2 linked regions of the Canis lupus familiaris genome follow. The protein of the gene in region 2 purifies or fractionates together with the protein of the main gene of each other region. This does not show direct contact. Links are inferred from orthologs where the notes say so. Each region holds a gene or a part of one and is shown on either strand. Other genes may lie near its edges.

The links. Proteins that work in one complex are often made in the same cells at the same time.
Region 1: the proteins of HDAC11 (region 2) and GCFC2 purify together in Homo sapiens (co-immunoprecipitation; 3 studies listed by BioGRID and IntAct, counting the BioPlex papers as one, with this or other methods). This does not show direct contact. The link is inferred for Canis lupus familiaris from reciprocal best matches to the Homo sapiens genes HDAC11 and GCFC2.

Annotation. Positions count from the first base shown.
Region 1 is NC_049238.1:48,140,799-48,145,818, forward strand, and holds part of GCFC2 (intron Large complex component GCFC2), read left to right. Parts: intron 1-2,826; coding exon 2,827-3,051; intron 3,052-3,966; coding exon 3,967-4,064; intron 4,065-5,020.
Region 2 is NC_049241.1:3,834,690-3,839,709, forward strand, and holds part of HDAC11 (histone deacetylase 11), read left to right. Parts: intron 1-1,056; exon of another isoform or gene 1,057-1,251; coding exon of another isoform or gene 1,252-1,257; intron 1,258-1,829; coding exon of another isoform or gene 1,830-1,890; coding exon 1,891-2,007; intron 2,008-3,125; coding exon of another isoform or gene 3,126-3,168; intron 3,169-4,905; coding exon 4,906-4,982; intron 4,983-5,020. UniProt on the Homo sapiens protein: Responsible for the deacetylation of lysine residues on the N-terminal part of the core histones (H2A, H2B, H3 and H4).

The sequences.
Region 1 (5,020 bases), on a different chromosome or scaffold from region 2:
TTTTTAATTGAAGTTCAATTTGCCCACATATAGCATAACACCCAGTGCTCATCTATGGGATAGTTTTTAATTATCATGTGACAGAGGTGTTACTGGCATGTAGTGCTCTGGAGGCAAGAAATGATAAATGTCTCACAGAGTACAGGACAGTTCACAGTGAAGAATTGTCCCTCCTCAAAAGCTCATTTTAGAAACCCTGAAAGTTGAAGATTTGTCCTGTGAAAAACTTTTTTTCTTCTGGAGAAGAAAAGATGAAGGAATGCGAGAAGTCTGTGGATTGGTTTGTGGACCCAGGAATGCAGTTATTTTTTGTTCCAACAGTGTAACTATTAGAATGATCCAATAGTGGAAAATATCTCTCTTGAGTTGTTGCAGATACTGCATGTTACACATGGGGCATGATATTAACCTGTATTCCTTAAATAAGATGATGTATGTGAAAATTATTTAACTTATAAATCTGCATGTTTTTATTGTAAAGCAATATGCTAACTTTATTCATTCCACATGTGGCGGGCATCTGCTTTGAGCTAGGTGTTGGGTATAGACAGGACAGGATAATAACTCTTCTCTTGAACTTTTCCTTCTTTATTGTAGCTTGAGAGAGGATTAGTTTTATTTAGTATTAGTATTTTACTAGTGAGTCTATTGCCTATGATTTATTAAGCCCCACCAAGTCATTTGCAGATGAATCACTTCCAGTATTTCTGCTTTTGTATTCATACACTTGAGTATTTGAACCTAAGTGTATCATCTTAACCCTGGTTTTACATTAAAATTTCCTAGACGGCTATTAAAACATAGTGCTGCTCAGCCCCACCTCAGATCAACTGAATCTGAATCTCTGGGATGAGGAGCTTGGGTACCAGTAGATTATCAAGCTTCCTAGGTGACTCTAATGTGTAATGAGGAGTCAAGAAATGCTCATGTAACCTGTCGTGAAGGTTTGAGTCTTGAGTCTAGGTTATATTTAGCTGTTCCTCCCAGCTTTAAAGACATGTCTTTTTATCTTAGTCCACATCACATTAAGATCATTAAACCAGGAACACAAACTATGGAGCCTTCTAGTAGATCCCTGCAGTGCTTCATAATCAACATATTTGGGGGGGTGGGGGGTAATTATTCAACTAGTTAAAAATCAAGTGCACTATGTGATTTTCCCCACACATTTTAATGTAATTCACAATGAAAACATGCATCTGTTAAATGCTTTGGGAAAATGAAGAAACATCTGATCTGCATCATTTCCCTGATACTAATCTATAAATTAGTACTAGTCCATAAAAAGTAAATCACTTGATTCAATATTCCTTGTTCCTTTTTTTTTTTTTTTTTTTTTTTTTAAGATTTCATTTGTTTATTTGAGAGAGAGCACACATACTGGTATGGCGACAGGGAGAGGGAAAAGAAGAGAATCTCAAGTAGACTCTGCACTGAGCACAGAGCCCCACGCAGGCTCAATCCCAGAACCCTGAGATCATGACCTGAGCCAAAAACAAGAGTTGGACATTTAGCCATTTGAGCCACCAAGGCGTCCCTGATATTCCTTGTTCTTAGTGAATATATTTTGATTTTTAGTCATCACCTGTTACTGTTTCATAATTTAAGAACTTGTTTTCCTTAGCACCAATGTCAAGCATATTGGTCAGTAATTTCTATATTCTCTTTTTCCAAAAGTTGGAACATTTCCACATCTCCAAGCATAGGACATCTTTTTTTGTTTTGGTTATTTTTCAAAGAATTTGGAACAGTTTGTGGTAAAGTTTAGAACATTTTACTTGAGCCTTGGTCGTTTGACATCCCTAATTAACATTGTGAAGTGCTTGAAATAGTGAAAATTTCCTTTACCATTTTGTTTACCTTAGTATTTTGCTTAAATACTAGAAAGTTTTTCCAGAAAGTAAAGATAAATTTCAGCTTAGATCATACATGAAGAAACTTGTTTTGAATTGGAATAATACACGTTAATGTGGTTTATATGCTATAAAATAAAACCTAGAAGCACCTGGGTGACTCAGTTGGTTAAGCTGCCTTTGGCTTAGGTCATGATCCCAGAGTTCTGGGATCGAGGCCAGCATCAAACTCCCTTCTCAGCAGAGAACCTGCTTCTCCCTGCTGCTCCCCCTGCATTTGTGTGAGTGCGTGCTCTGTCAAATAAATAAAATCTTAAAAAAAAAAACAAAAAAAAAAAAAACTAAAACATGGGTCTATTAAAAGACAGCATTTAAATATTTTTCACCTGATAAATGAATCTGATTATTTTCTTTATAATTTTTGTAACTTCTCATTTATTCATGTGGAAATCACCACAGGATCTTGATTTAGCTGTGTGCTGGTTTTAGTCTCTTTCTCACTTCCTGTATGCCTGGATACCACAAGGAGAGGAGAAGGGCATAATACAGCATTCTTTGTGCATCAGATTGGCCTGTACCCCATCATTCGAACCTCTGCAGGTCTCACAGACTAACCAACTCTATGCTCAGCTCTATCCCGCTTCCCAACCCTCATAATCTGAGAGCTTCTAGAAATGAGAAATAGTCTTCAGCAAAAAGTCAGCAACAACATCTGATGAGTAAGAGAGCTAGAAGATACATTGAAGTGGTATCGTTATATTTTCTGATACTTCTAGATTAGGTTCGTTTTCTAATTTACATTAAATCTCTATAAAAGTAATCTTATTGATGTAGGTTTTGAGTTCTACAGTTACATTAATACCAGAATTGGAAAAAATTGAAAAGACACTGCCTTTTTATTTTCTTTAAATACAAGGAATATGTATTTCTGTTGGTGTTTGTTTTTCATTGTCTTCCTCTTTGTTTCTTTTAGTAAATATCCCTGATTCAGCTTTTATTCAGGAAGCTCGCAGAAAACGTGAATTGGCCAGGGCCCAAAATGACTTTATCTCTTTGGATGTAAAACATACCTCTACCATTGCTGAGATGAAGAAAAATAGTAATGAAGATCCTGAGAGTGAGCCTGATGACCATGAAAGGAGAATACCATTTACCCTAAAGCCTCAAACCCTTAGACAAAGAATGGCTGAAGAAACAAGTACATACTTAATTTATTTACAATATATAAACATTGAGGGATTTTTCACCCAAATATAATATTATGTTAAAATTTTCCATAAAAACAGAATGTAGTATCTCATACTTTAAAAGATGTTAGAAGTTGGTTTTTATTTAATACAAATTTGGTAAATGACATCATAGTCTCTAAAAGATCTATTAAGATGTTATTATCAAATAATGTGTAATAACATTATTATCTGACCTTGATCTTTTTTGGTAAGTTAAAAAAAATTGTACAGTGTCTTATTTTTGATATTGAAAACTTTCATTGTCACCTTTATAAAGATTTTTTTTTAACATGGAAGCATCTATAGGGATTTTAGATGTTATTTATTAAGCTCTCCCCTGCTCTGATGAAAAATTTCCTCTACCAATAATCCTTAGATCTAATAGGACTATTTTCACATTCGTTATTTATAAACAATTACATGTTTTATCAAAATTTTTATCATTTTGAATAATATTTTTTCAGAATGAGACTTTTGGTTTCCTCATAACCCAGAAATTAATTTTCAATATTTAGATTCTAGGATAGAATTTATAATTCCTAATGAGGATTATCAAATGTTTCATTTTTTTTCTAAGTTTTTCCCCCCCATATATGAAACTGCAGTGTTTTCATTGGGACGGTTTGTTGATGAGTACAGGTGCCCAAATTCAAATCCCAGCTTCAGCACATTTTCCAGACAAGTTATTTAATCTCTTGATAGGAGTTTCCTCATTAAAAGAAAGAAAAGGCTGTTAGTAGTGCTTTCTTCCCAGAATTACTGTGAAGAATAAGTTAACACATATAAAGCTGCTAAGCCAGTGCATTATAAGCCCTTCAAAAATGTTAGCTGATGCTAATAGAATGGAAAAATATAGACTACTCATGAATTTTTTTTTTTCCTAGCACCCAGAAATGAAGAAACAAGTGAAGAAAGTCAGGAAGATGAAAATCAAGATATTTGGGAACAGCAGCAAATGAGGAAAGCAGTTAAAATTACAGAGGTAGTAATTTTTTATACCATATATATTAATTTTCTGTGGCTGCTGTAACAAATTATCACAAACTTGGTGGCTTAAAACAAGAGACATTTATTCTCTTACAGTTGTAGAGGCTAGAAGTTTGAAAACAAGGTGTTAGCAGGGCTGTGCTCCCTCTGAAGGCCCTAGAGGAGAATCCTTTCTTGCCTTCCAACTGTCACTCCAGGTGTTCCTTACTTTGTGACTATATAACCCCTGTCTCTATCTCCCTCTTTATATGGCCACCTTTCCTGTACCTCTGTATTCTATTTTATAAGAATATTTTTCATTGGATTTATGGCCCACTTGGATAATCCAGGATATTCTCATCTTGAGATATTCCACTTAATTACGACCAGAAGGACCCTTTTTCCAAATAAGGTGATATTCACAGATTCTGGGGGTTAGAACATAGACTTGTTTTTTGTGAGGCCACCATTCAACTTATTATACCTTATATATTATGTTCTCTTCCTACTAAATGTTAAATATCTTCTACATATTATAGGCCACTTGAGGGGACTATATTTTTTTAATTTTATAGTAATTGTAACATACGGTAGGTATGTAAATGTGAAGTGTTTAAACAAATAAATAGATTTAAAACGAAACTAATAAAAATAATACTGTTGTTGAGGTCAGGAGTCCTAGATTTGGATTCTGGCTCTACCACTAAAATATATGCTCCATGAGGTCAAGAATTATTATTAACTGTTCAGTGTTTTATCCCTCTGTGCCTAATACTATGAGTGCTCAGTAAATACTTGTGCAACTTTGTGCAAATTATTTAGCCCTTTTTTTTAAAGATTTATTTATTTATTTTCGCAAGCACACATGCCCAAGTGGGGGGAGGGTGCGGAGTTGGAAAGGGAGAGGGAGAGAATCTCAAGCAGATTCCACATTTAGCATGGAACCCAACATGGGACTTGATCTCACAACTC
Region 2 (5,020 bases):
TGGCCACACAGGTGGTTAGTGCAGTTCAAGGCAGCATGGGTGCCCAGCATACCCGGACCCTGACAATGTCTTCCCTTTTGGCTGGGGTGGCTGCAGTGGCCCCTACAAGGTTGACATGGGTCCTGTCCCGGCCATGAGTGGTGCTCTCTAGCTAGGAAGCCTGCCAGGACTTTCTCAGGTGTGTGCCCTTTGTCTGTCTCACTCCATCCTTGGCCCTTCCCTCTCCCTCTCTGCTGACTCCTTTCCCTCGTTGAGCAAACCTCTCCTGCCCTAAATCTCCTCTCCTGGTGGGGGAACCCAGTGGCAGTGCTCCCTGTCTTCAACACCTCTCTCTCTCTTTTTAAAAATATTTTATTTATTTGTTCATAAGAGACACAGAGAGAGGCAGAGACACAGGCAGAGGGAGAAGCAGGCTCCTCGCAGGGAGCCCAATGTGGGACTTGATCCCTGGACTCCAGGATCATGCCCTGGGCCGAAGGCAGATGCTCAACTGCTGAGCCACCCAGGCGTCCCAGCACCTCTCCTTGCTTATTCCTTCCTGAAACTTCTCTCTGCCTGGCCACCTGAATGCCCTACCTCTGGCCTGCCCTAACCTGTCCCAGAACAGCCCTCAATTGTCCCAGTGGGCTACACTTCTGGGCTTTACCCTTTAGGTGTGGAGTGTTGTGGTTCCAACCTTGCATCCTTGACCCCTCTGTCTGCCTATCCCTCTCGTATTGTCTGTTAACTGTTCCCCTCTCACCTCTCCGGGGCCCTCATCATCTCTGGCTTCCCCCCGCCCCCTGAGGGGCAGTGGCTGCTTCTATTGGAGTTCTCCTACATGGTCCTCCTGGTGTGGCCAGAACAGCTTGGGAAAGCATTGTCTGATGGCTCTCTGCTGCTCTGGCGAGGCTGTCTGAGAACAGTCTCTGGCAGCCCAGGCCCTATGTGACAGGCACAGTCCTGTCCCAGCCGTACCCAACTTCTCGGGAACTTGGACTTGCTTTCCGTCTGCTAGCAGGTGTCTTTCCTTTCACCTTGACCCTGATATCTGGGCAACTTTGTTTCACTTTCAAGGTCACTGCCTCCAGAATGCCTCTCTGCTCCCACCCGGACACAGACCGTGCTCTCCATCGAAGGCTTTGTCGCATTTAAGTGCCTCCTCACTAGTCTCCACCTTGGCACCTGCTGCCTAGCAGACACTCAGTAAACATTTGCAGAGGGCCCTGGGCCCCACTGAGGTCCTGCCTGGGGTGAGAGCAGACGACGCAGATGCAGGTACATCCCCAGCCAGGCAGGAGATGGTTCAGGATCTGGGTGCATGGACGTTTGCCCAGGGGCCTGGGCAGGGTCATAGGGAAGGCTGTGTTCTGATCTGGGGGCAAATGCCTTTTGGGTACCCTGGACCCTCCTGCCTCAGCAGCCGAGATGAGGGCCTGATCCCCCTTTGGAGGGAGATCTGATTCCCGGTGCATGAAGAGGTCACGCTGTGCCAGGAGAGCAGGAGACCTGGGCTTCCAGTGCCGACGCTGCCAGTGACTCACTGTGTGACCTTGGAAAGAAAGATCTTCCCAGGTCAGGGCCTCAGTGTCCCCTCCTTTTGTACAGTGGGCAGGCTGGGCCAGTGCTGGGTCTGCAACCCCTGTGACTTGCAGCTCTTGTTGTGGGCACAGGAGGGCAGCCAAGAGCTGTGGAGCACAGAGGAAGGGACCGACAGTTTTAGGGAAACTGCTCTTTCCGGAGCCCAAAGCTGGGTGGGGGGCTCTCATTTCTGACCAGTTTGACAGTCTGCCAGACTGGAAGTTCCAGGGCACCTTGAAACCGGCACTACAAGGAATCGGATTTCCCAGCTGCAGCCTCTGAGCTCTGCCAGCAGTGGGAGGCCAATGGCCTGCGTCTCTCCCTCCGCAGTGGTCCTTCGCTGTTGCGACCATCACAGAGATCCCCCCTGTCATCTTCCTCCCGAACTTCCTTGTGCAGAGGAAGGTGCTGAAGCCCCTTCGGACCCAAACAGGAGGAACCATCATGGTAGGTGGGGAGGCTGGCAGAAGGACCTGCTGGGCTTGGGACCCCCACACCTCTGGGCTTCCCCCCCTCCCCAGCTCTCCGTCTGGAATACGCTCCTCCCTCTTGGTAATTGCATAAAATCCTAAATAGTCCTCCAGGCACAGCAACAAGGACTTTTTCTCCCAAAGCCTCTCCCACGTGCTCTGCTGCCTTGGGGACACTGAATTCCTTGTTCCTCCGCCCACCCCCCATCTCCTATTGGAGTTACCGTATTTGCTGGTATATAAAGACATGTCCCTATGCCCCAGAGAGTATATAATCAAACTGGCACCAATATACTCAACTCAAGGTGGAAAAGCAAACCCCCATGACTTCAGTGATGGGTCATGCTCTGCTCACCTGGCATCATGGGTATGGCAGTAAAGAGCACTCGCAGCAAAATGAGGTTTCACATCCCCTATGTAGTTGTCTGTAAAACACAGAAAGAAAGGCAGAGACACAGGCAGAGGGAGAAGCAAGTTCCCTGTGGGGAGCCCAATGTGAGACTCGATCCCTGGACCCCGGGATCATGCCCTGGGCCAAAGGCAGACGCTCAACCACTGAGCCACCCAGGCATCCCAACATTTCAGCTTTAAATGTAGGATGATCTAACCCAGGGCTGGATCAAGACCTGTTGATCCTGATAGTTTTCTTTCTAGCTTTGCAAATTTGTACTTTTTTGTTTATTTCTTGAGGTATTACTGCCCACCCCCAAATGATGATTTCTTACAGGATTTTGGTATTCAGGCTGCCATATTTCCATGGGAAAAAAAAAAAAGTCTATTTTCCCTTTGAAGGCCCTGTTAAGATCATTGTCAGCTCACATGTGATCATAACCACTTTGATTTCTTCCAGTTTCTTTGCATAATTGCAAAGGGGCTGATGTACTGCACATCTCATATGCCAGCCAACCCGGTACTTACTTCCAAGCCTGAGTCCGAGCTTGCTGGAGGGTGGGTACCGCCTGAACCCTACCTTATAGGTCAGCCCTACGTCCCACTGACTGGACCTAGTGTCTATGGAATGAAGGAGCGAATCCGTGAATGAGTGAGTGAGGGAAACAGTTGCCTGTGCCTCTCACCCTGTGCTTGTCTCCAAAGGCAGGGAAGCTGGCCATGGAGCGAGGCTGGGCCATCAATGTGGGTGAGTGCCCTGGCCAGCCTGGCCTGCTGGGTCCTGGGGGCTGGGAGGGCCAGGTAGCTGCTCTGTGAGGCAAGGCTCTGGTGCCTCCAGAGCCACCCTGAACCTCCTTATTAAGTGGGATGGGGGACAGTATGCAGCCATCTGGTGTCTGGGAGGGATCAACCAGTGCCTCCATCTGGTGTGGAATCCTTCTCTAAAGGAGTTCCCCAGCTCTGCCTTTGCATACTTCCAGTGACAAGGAGCTCACTCCTCTGCAAAAGCCTGCATCATCGCCTGGGCAGACCTGAATGGGGCTCAAACCTGCAGCATTTCAGTCTTTTCTGAAAAATCTCCCATCAGCCTCCTGGGGCCCAGGACCACCCGCAGGGGTTTGGTCACATGATGGGCAGACAGGCCTGGGTCAATACCATGTCCTCCTCGGGGACCTGAAGGCTGATAGTCTGAGGTTCCCCGGACTCCCCTGCAAGCCTGGCTCATGGGATGGCAACACACATCTTCCTTGTCCCTTATCTGTCCCTCACTGAGGCGCAGCACTTCACAGTTAGCACACCTCTTTGCTGTCTGGCCTCTCATCTGAGCTGGGCATCATTGTTGTTGATCCCACTGTACTGACGAGGACACAGCTATGGGGAGCAGCCTGGTGGCTTGCTCAGAGTCTGGAGCAGAGGACCCCTACTTTGCCTGTGAGCTCTGCAAGGCCAGGGGCTGGGGCTTTTCCAAGTTGGCATCGCCAGGTACCCAGCCTTGGGTCTGGCATAACTGTGATGTTATCATAGACTGCTGAACAGATGAATGAAAGAGGCACACTCTGCACGTCTACAGCAGGGTCCTCACGAAGACCCCGGGAAGCCCTTCTCCTGTGGAAGGTGTTGTGACCTGACAGTTAAGAGCCCAGGCCCGGATCCAGCCTGGGTTTGAATCTTGGCTCAAGAGGGCTCTCGTTAGTGAGCTGTGTGATCCCAGGCGAGGTGCTGAGTTTCTGTGTGCCTCAGTTTCTTCATCTGTAAAATGGAGATGATGGTACTAGTGCCCCTACTTGGAGCTGTAGGGAGGTTTCTATAAGTTCTGTGCCCAGTCTGGGAGTTCACAATTGGCTGTTATCTCATTATTAAGATCTGTTGACAACCTGTTGGTGTGAAAAGAGACGAGTCCTTTGTAGCCATGGGTCCTGGATTCGAACTGCTGGGTGGGACAGTTGTTGGGCTCAGTTTCAGAGGCCCCTGAAACTCGAGTTCTTTTTGTAGGGGTTGCGGGGCAATGGGCTCTCAGGGTGGGGTAGAAGCAGGGGCCGGATCCTGGTGTCCAGGGCCTCCCCATTGCCATGAGTGCCCATGACCAACAGAAGGTGCCCCTCCTGGCCATCACTTTCTACCACCTGCAGAATGTGGGTGATCCCAGGGTAAACGGGCCCCCATAGCCCCACCACCCCTTCCAGGCATGGGAAGTCACATAGAGGTGGCCTGGCCCTACAGAGGCAAGGAACAACTTTTTGCCTTGGGCCCCTCGGGGTTGTGACGGGTAGTGGGGGGGGAGTGACTTGTCAGGACCACCCTGAGAGGTTTCGTACTCTGGGCAGGGATAGCCTTGATGACAAAGCTGTCTTCATGACTCGGGGTTCTCAGTTCATTTTGCCAATCTGGAGTTCCCGGAGCCTGGCTGAGCAGGGCTGGGATACGGGCAGGATGTAGGGGCAGGGGAGTGCCTGGCCCTGACCACACCGCGTCTGCCCTCCTGCAGGTGGAGGCTTCCACCACTGCTCCAGTGACCGGGGCGGGGGCTTCTGCGCCTACGCGGACATCACACTGGCCATCAAGGTGCGCCCGAGAGCACGTGGGGACTCGCCTCCAGGAGC